2 linked regions of the Tamandua tetradactyla genome follow. The protein of the gene in region 1 interacts with the protein of each later gene in a pairwise test. Links are inferred from orthologs where the notes say so. Each region holds a gene or a part of one and is shown on either strand. Other genes may lie near its edges. The genes, in order: RHEBL1 and TXNL4A.

Region 1 (3,911 bases):
CCCCCTTGCCCTATTCAATCAACTTCCAATCCGTTCTTCACAACCAGGGAGATCTTTCAGAAACACAAATCACATTATGTCATTCTTTTGCTTAAACATCATCAACAGCTTTCTAGGTATTTAGAATTAATCCAGCTGTTTTACATGGCCTGGTCTCTCTCTCCCTCTCAGACCTTACCTGCTTTAGGCTCCCTGGCTTTATTTTCTTTTCCTAGAACTAAAAAAATTTTGTTCCACTTTAAGGCCTTTGCACTGGTGTGTATTGTTCTGTTGAAATTTTCAGCTAGCTGGCTCCTTACTGTCACTCAGATCTCAGTTTAAACGGGGCATCTTCTGAGAGGAAGTACCACTAATTTAAAATGATCATTGCTTATCACAACACTCTGCCTCTTTTATAGAACCTAACACTATCTGATATTTCCTTGTTATGTTTGTCTCTCTTCTACTAGGTTTTAAGCTTCGTGAGAGCAGAGGCCTTGTCTGTCTTGTTCATCCCTTTACCCCCAAAGCCTAGAGCAGCATCTAGAACATAAATATTTGTTGAATAAATGAATGCATTGATGATTATGATGATGACAGTGAAACCTCACACGACCCGGCCACAAACAGCAATTCCCTCAAGAACAACAATTGCAGTTCAGAAGTTAGATCCTCGAAGAATGAAAAATCTCACAACAAAAGGTCTGATTAAAGGGAGGGAATATATTGGATTTTTGGCCTTTTTTTTTTCCTATCTAAGGACCTCAGAGTCCTGGCAAAAGGGAGTCCTAGAATCTTTTGACCAGAAACTTCAGCCCAGCCGTAAAAGATATTTTCCGCCCATGATTCTCCGAAGTCACTTCAGCTAAGTTGCAAATACACAAACACCTCTAGGACCCCGGGTTCCTTTCTGTTTCTTTATGAATGAACCGGCTCCAGTCTGCGCACGCGCAGCTCCGTGTTCTCCCGCTCCACGTGAGACCCACCCTTCCCTCCCTCTGGCGACCCCGCCCTTATCCTTTCTAATGGACCAATGGCGAGCAGCCTGGGGGGCGGAGCCCGGAGCGGCGCGGCGGTGTAGTTCCCCGGCGCCCGGCTCGTTCGCGTTAGTCGTGCTGTGTTGTGATCACGTGGCCAACTCCGGGCGCGGCGCTTGTTTTGGTTTCCCTCTAGCTTGCCCCTGGCAGCTTCAGGGTGAGTGACTTTATTGCACGGGTTGCCAAGGCCTCCTACACGCTGACTTCCTCCCCTTCGGGCTATCTCAGCCCGCAGTTCTCAAAGCCCCTTGGGGCGGGCGCCTGCCATGCCGCTAGTCCGCTACAGGAAGGTGGTCATCCTCGGATACCGCTCTGTAGGTGAGTCTCCGCCCTGGGGAGATCACGGACGCACCGCGGCTTTGCGGCCAGAGGGGGCGCGCTGCCGCGGAAGTCCGACCCAGGGAGGAATGGTGGCATCGTATGAACAAGGGTGTAGAGCGAGGATTCAAAGGATGGAGGAGGAAAGGCCGGGGGAGGGAGATGCAGGAAGCGGGGGCCGTGGGGGTTAATATGGGTTTGGATGAAGGAACACCTGAGTGGTCCCAAGCGTTACTGTGTCGGTGGGAGTGGGCGCAGGGGATGCGGTCTGCCTGGGACAGGTAGTCGCAGGTGTCCTAGGGCGAGGCCGACTTGACATTAGGGAATCCTGGGTCTACTGGGAGGTGGGGGGGTGGGGTAGGGAGAAAGACGGCGGGAAATGCTTCCTGCGGCGCTGCTTGATGTATATTGTAGCCAAGGTGCAGAGACTCAGGGAGAAGAAAGGGTGAGGGTAGATTAGGGAAAGGCATTACTTGGGGCATTCAATGGCTGGGGTGCACAACCTGAGAGGACAGAGGGTGGGAATGTGGACAGAGGATTTGGATACAGTTATCACTGCCCCCCACAGGGAAGACATCTTTGGCACATCAGTTTGTGGAAGGCGAGTTCTTGGAGGGCTATGATCCTACAGTGGAAAATAGTGAGTAGACTTCTCCCTTAGTGTGACAGGGATGGGGCAGGAAGGACTTGGGTTCCCTACCCAACTCCATAATTTAAAATTTCTTTGGTGTTAAGAGGCTGATTTAATAGATATGAAATTTAATCTCTTCCTTCTCAAGCAATCCTGTTCTATAAGTGGTGCTAAAGTTTGGATTTTGCAGGATTTGGATTGTCCAGGATGGTGACAATGTGGATCTGAACCCTATCATTGTTGCTCCAGTTTCTTGGAGAGTTCCCTGGACCTGGTCTATCCATGTATCATCCCCAGGGTTAGGAATGTATGGGGAAATGTATTGCTGTTCCTACAAGTTGCCCCATAGACAATTTTTCTTTTTCCTTTCAGCTTACAGCAAGATAATGACTCTTGGCAAAGATGAGTTTCACTTACACCTGGTGGATACAGCAGGGCAGGTACCAGTTTGGGGTTGGGTATCCAAATGTAGCAGTTCAGCCCTGAGAGGTGAAGTCTGTTAGCCTTTGTGGTTCGTCTGTAAAGTAGAATGAAAAGAAAGGCATTTTAGCAGCTAGTAGTATGCAGGGCTTTTTGAAACTGCTCCATAAATTCTTTTGAATGGAAGTAACTGGATTATGGAGTGTCCCAGGGAGAGTCCCTTGGGTACAGTCCCACAAGTCTGCCATTTGAGTGATGTGGATCTAGGATTGATGTTTCTTTTTCTTGTCAGGATGAATACAGCATTCTGCCCTATTCATTCATCATTGGGGTCCATGGTTATGTGCTTGTATATTCTGTCACCTCTCTCCATAGGTAAGTTGCCAAGGCTGTGGGTGGGGAACTTGGGAGGAACTGAGGGATGTCCCAGAACTAAGGTTACAGCTCCATATCTTGTGTTTGAAGCTTCCAAGTCATTGAGAGTCTGTACCAAAAGCTGCATGAAAGCCATGGGAAAACTCGGTGAGTGGTCCTGGGGAGTAGAGATATCCTATGGAGATAAGTTGGTGAAGAGTTGAGGGGAGATTTGGTCCAAGTTAGGGAGGAGAGCAGGACATAGATACTGCCTGGGCTGGGTTGTTCAACCTAACGTGAATAAGGTTGGGGTCCATGGGGAATGGAAGGGGATCTTGTAGTGAATTCTGTTTCCTCACAGGCTGCCGGTGGTGCTAGTGGGAAACAAGGCAGATCTCTCTCCAGACAGGTATGTGAATGTTTAGAGCTCAGGCTGAAAGTGAACTGGACTAGGAATCAGTTGGGCCCTAGTCCTGGCTCTGCGACCAACTTGGGCAAGTCATTTCACCTCTCATTGTTTCTAACTTGAAAGTTAAGAGAAAATAACCCTTCTATCTCAGAAAATCATCCTTCCATATTTCAAATTTCTATACTACATTCCCCCATCACTCCTTTGTTTACCTAGGTCTTCTCCTTCTTCAGCCTTCCTCCCAAACCTTGAGAAAATGGGATGGGTCAGAGGATGTATAGATTCTAAAGATTTTGCAAACAATATGGGAACATTACTATCCTCCCAAATTTGCTTCCAGGGAGGTCCAGGCAGTTGAAGGGAAGAAGCTGGCAGAGTCCTGGGGTGCAACATTTATGGAGTCATCTGCTCGTGAAAACCAGGTGCTTGGCCTGAAGACTATGAGGGTGGAGGGGGTAGTAGTGTGTTTCTTATAGCACTGTTTGATGGTTGGAAAGTGGGATGTTTACCTCAGAGTTGGGTGGTATTGGCACTGAACTAATTGACTTATCCCTTACAGCTGACTCAAGCCATCTTCACCAAAATCATCCAGGAGATTGCCCGCATAGAGAATTCCTATGGGCAAGAGCGTCGCTGCCGTCTCATGTGAGCCCTTAGATATAGGGTAACTGCCTTGTCTTTGCCCCTGGCACTTGCCAGGCTCCAGTTGGGCAGGCCCTTAGGACTTCACGGGTATTGTTGCCAGCTGTGGCCCTGGCCCTCT
Region 2 (3,911 bases), on another chromosome or scaffold:
GTTAACCACTATGCTTGTAGTCTATCAATGCCTCTCTGTACTTGACTCAACTATAAAATGAAAGAAGTTGGGTTAGATGATCTCTGAAAAAAAAGATCTTGAGTCATACGTACGTGGAATAGATTCTATATTATGTAATAAAAACTTAATCTGTCAGTGAATTGCACTCTATGGATTCTCTACTAAGAATGATTCTAATATTTAAACTGTGTCCTGCTGTGAACCTACAGAATAGGTCCTGCTGAAGTTCAATGGGCACTTAACATGAAAAATGAAACAGATCACTCCAAACAGCAAAATGGTAACAATTTATTAGGGAATTTACAGTCCAGAAAACTGGTCCTAGGTGGCTGCAGGACATTCAGAGTAGTGCCCTGTGCCACCCAGCAGATTATAGTGGTTATATAGGGCAAGAACTAGGAAGGCATAGAGTCAAATTGGGATTTGCAAGATCCTAAATATGCCTCTTTGAAGGTACTGATAGCAGGAGTGGTTCTAGTATGGATAGCTATTGTGCCAAGGAATGTGCACGAGCACCTTAAGATACATCTACAGTTGTGGGGAGAGGTTCCTTGTTTAGGAATTTATGTCTACTCTAGTTTATAGCCTCACAAATTGTCATTAAATAACATAGCATTTTAGAATATATGCTTCCAAAGGAAACTGAATACCAAGTCTTGGTTTCATTCTCCTGCTAGTGGTCTCCCCACTTGGTAACACAGCACATCAGAAGAAAGTTTTGAGCAAGTTTATGTTATGTGCATGAGCTCCTTTACAAATATATATGTACATAAGACATGCACAAAGTATAAAGAAGAAAAATTATGAAACACTTAAATAAATGTATATATTAACAATACAGAAAATACTTCAGCTCTTCCTAAAAATGTCCATAATTTTTAGAACAATAAAATTGATTAAGTTGCATCCTTGTTTTTGAAAATCCTGGTCTAGCCCTGCAATAGCTTTGGGAAGGCAGGGTTCCACTGTAAACCACTAAGATCCGTGGCTTTTTGGGCAGCTTCAAGTGCTTCATTGGCGGTGCTGTATTCTTATCTTCTTTAAACTTTTTTTGTCAGTTTTTTTTTTTTTACATGGCCAGGCACTGGGAATCGAACCCGTGTCCTCTGGCATCGCAAACAAGCTGCTGAGCCACCGTGGCCCGCCCTTCTTTAAACTTTTAATTTCGGAATAATTTCAAACTCACAGGATAGTGGCAGCTGTCTGTGCGGAAATTTTACTCAGTCCTGTCCACCAAGATGTTAAAAACAAAATTTCAGTCTCCCTGACGTCAAATATTTGTGCATATATGATATACACAGTTATGTATATGATAACTAGCTCGATAAAGCCCTGCTTTTTCTAAAGATGACTATTTCGATGCTTTTTTAAAAATGTCCCAACTCTCGGAACGCACGTGGGCTGACAAAAGCCAGGCCCGGCGGCACCCAAGAAAGGGCGGAGCAACCCCGGGGCCCCCCTTCCCCAGGCCGAGGTCGGCGGGGGCGCGCACGCACGCGGGGTCTCGCGCGCGCACCCGCTACGTCAGCGCGCGCACGCAAGAGGTTCCGGGCACAGCCGCGCGGAGCAGACGCGGGTGGCTGGCGAGACGCTCCGGTGTGGTGTGAGGTGCGCGCGGCCGGGCGCTGGGGCGCGTGGTGTGGGAGGAGAGGAGGGCCGAGGCGGGGTCGGGGGAAGGGAGGGCAGGAGGGGAGGGCCGAAGGGGTCGTGGGGAAGGAAGGGGAGGGGGGAGGGCCGAGGGGGTCGTGGGGGTCGTGGGGAAGGGAGGGGAGGGCCGAGGGGTGCGGGGGAAGGGAGGGGATGGGGAGGGCCGGGGGTGTCGTGGGGAAGGGAGGGGAGGGCCGAGGGGTACGGGGGAAGGGAGGGGAGGGCCCAGGGGGTCGTGGGGAAGGGAGGGGAGGGCCGAGGGGGTGCGGGGGAAGGGAGGGTTGAGAGGGGAGCGTCGAGGGGGTCGTGGGGAAGGGGAGGTCGCGCAGGGCCGCGCGCCGGGGTCCCCGTCGTGGGCGAGTCGGCCCGGGAGGCGGAGGCGGGGGCTGGGGCCCGGGCCGGAGCCGGCAGGGTGGCGACGCGGCCTACCGCCCGCAGGTGAGCGCGAGGTGCCGCAGCCTCAGGATGTCGTACATGCTCCCGCACCTGCATAATGGCTGGCAGGTGGACCAGGCCATCCTGTCCGAGGAGGACCGCGTCGTCGTCATCCGCTTTGGGCACGACTGGGACCCCACCTGCATGAAGATGGACGAGGTTCTGTACAGCATCGCGGAGAAGGTGCGCTCCGGGTCCCGCAGCCGGCGTGGGTGGCTCCTAACCCTTGTCTCCTGATGTGCAGACACGCCCCGCGGGTAGAGAGGACTGGGCGGCGTGCAGAGCCGTGCCTCGGGAGGGGAGGGTGTGCTCCCTGAGAGGGCACAGAAGGCTTCATCTTTTTCCGGGAGAAGTTTACAGGAATTTCCTCAGATTTTAGAGGTTCATGATCCCTTCCCAAATAAGTGAATAATTTGTACTGATTAGATGTGTTTCAAAATTTACATCTGCATTGCAATGGGGAAAAAAAGAATTTGCAGACTTTGGCTAGAGCATTGATGCTTTAAATAGCTGAGTTAAAAAGGATGAGCTCTTTTTTTGGCACCTTGTTTATTTTAGTTATAAAACAGAACCCTTATGTTAATAACAGTAAAGACTTCTTTTTGTTTTGGTAATGGTTTTTTCCCTTCATCATAGCATGTTCTTTGTAAGTCACCTGATTTATATCTTTGAATGATTGAAATTCAGGTGACATTAGGAGAAAAATAGAATTGTGCTTTTTTAGGACTGGTTTCCCTGATTTTTAATGTTAGTGTACTGGGGAGTCTAGTACTTAACTTGATGAAGACAAAGGTGCCATTGTAGGGCACTAGTACATACCCAGGGCTTTAGTTTTCTGTATTTTCCTGATTGGAATTTTTAGGTTGATTTTTATTTAAGTTTTTGAAATTGTAGCAGTAGGGCAAGAGATAAAGCTATGAACATGTTCATAAATAGTAAAATTATCGTTTCATAAATCATTTGAGATGGTCATTCATTTTACTGGAGAGTAAAAGTAATATAATCACTGATACGCTCTTGTCTTTGACGCAGATAGGAGATGCATTAATGATGGCTGGGTTTAAATGACTGCTTTGAAGAACTAGTAACAAGCTATAAATATTTTATCGAGGAAAGGAAAAATTATTGGCCCTCCATTTGTTCATTTTTACTGCCCTGTCTTGTCAGAAGAAAAGAGTGAGGTAGTGGTGTTGCTTTGTGAACTTTAGGAACTGTTCTTATGTTTTAGAAGTCGTAAGTATCATTGAAGTGCTTGTTAAAATGCATCTCAGAGATTCTGACTCTATAGGTCTGGGGTGGGGACCAAGAAACTGCTTTTTAAAGAAGCTCCCCAGGGAATTCTGATATGACTTGATCACGGGCCACACCTTAACTTCACTGAAGGTAAGAGTTAGGGTAGGAGTGCTTTGAGATATTGAAGCGCATCAGCAGGTTCCCGGAGAATTTCAGGAGAACAGCAGAACTCTCAGAAACTGGGGTCAGAGGTCAGGAGCGAGGGCACCAGCGGGTGAGTACACAACGAGTACACATCGCTTGAGCACTGCTGGGGCAGAGCAGAGGGCACTGGGAGCCATCCCTCAGAAGCTCAGCCTTGCTGTGTTGACTGAAATCATTTGGGATCTGCTCTTCTGCCTTGCAGCTGGCGGCGTAAGCACCAGGTGACACCCAGGCCCTCACTGCTGCACCAGGTGCGGCCAAGGTGCGGCCAAGGTGCTGGAGGTGCAGGGCCTCCTGGTCTTAGTGTCTGAGCCAGTGCGAGGCGTTGGTGTGAGGAAATCACCCCTTCCGGTCAGTCTCATCTGAGTTGT

Evidence for each region.
Region 2: the proteins of RHEBL1 (region 1) and TXNL4A interact in a two-hybrid assay, tested with the Homo sapiens proteins (2 studies listed by BioGRID and IntAct). The link is inferred for Tamandua tetradactyla from reciprocal best matches to the Homo sapiens genes RHEBL1 and TXNL4A.

The regions. Positions count from the first base shown.
Region 1 is NC_135333.1:109,943,931-109,947,841, reverse strand, and holds the start of RHEBL1 (GTPase RhebL1), read left to right. Parts: upstream 1-1,044; 5' UTR 1,045-1,282; coding exon 1,283-1,334; intron 1,335-1,902; coding exon 1,903-1,974; intron 1,975-2,337; coding exon 2,338-2,405; intron 2,406-2,677; coding exon 2,678-2,760; intron 2,761-2,850; coding exon 2,851-2,907; intron 2,908-3,100; coding exon 3,101-3,148; intron 3,149-3,488; coding exon 3,489-3,570; intron 3,571-3,707; coding exon 3,708-3,797; 3' UTR 3,798-3,911.
Region 2 is NC_135344.1:2,385,542-2,389,452, forward strand, and holds the start of TXNL4A (thioredoxin-like protein 4A), read left to right. Parts: upstream 1-1,544; 5' UTR 1,545-1,629; intron 1,630-2,106; 5' UTR 2,107-2,133; coding exon 2,134-2,286; intron 2,287-3,911. UniProt on the Homo sapiens protein: Plays a role in pre-mRNA splicing as component of the U5 snRNP and U4/U6-U5 tri-snRNP complexes that are involved in spliceosome assembly, and as component of the precatalytic spliceosome (spliceosome B complex).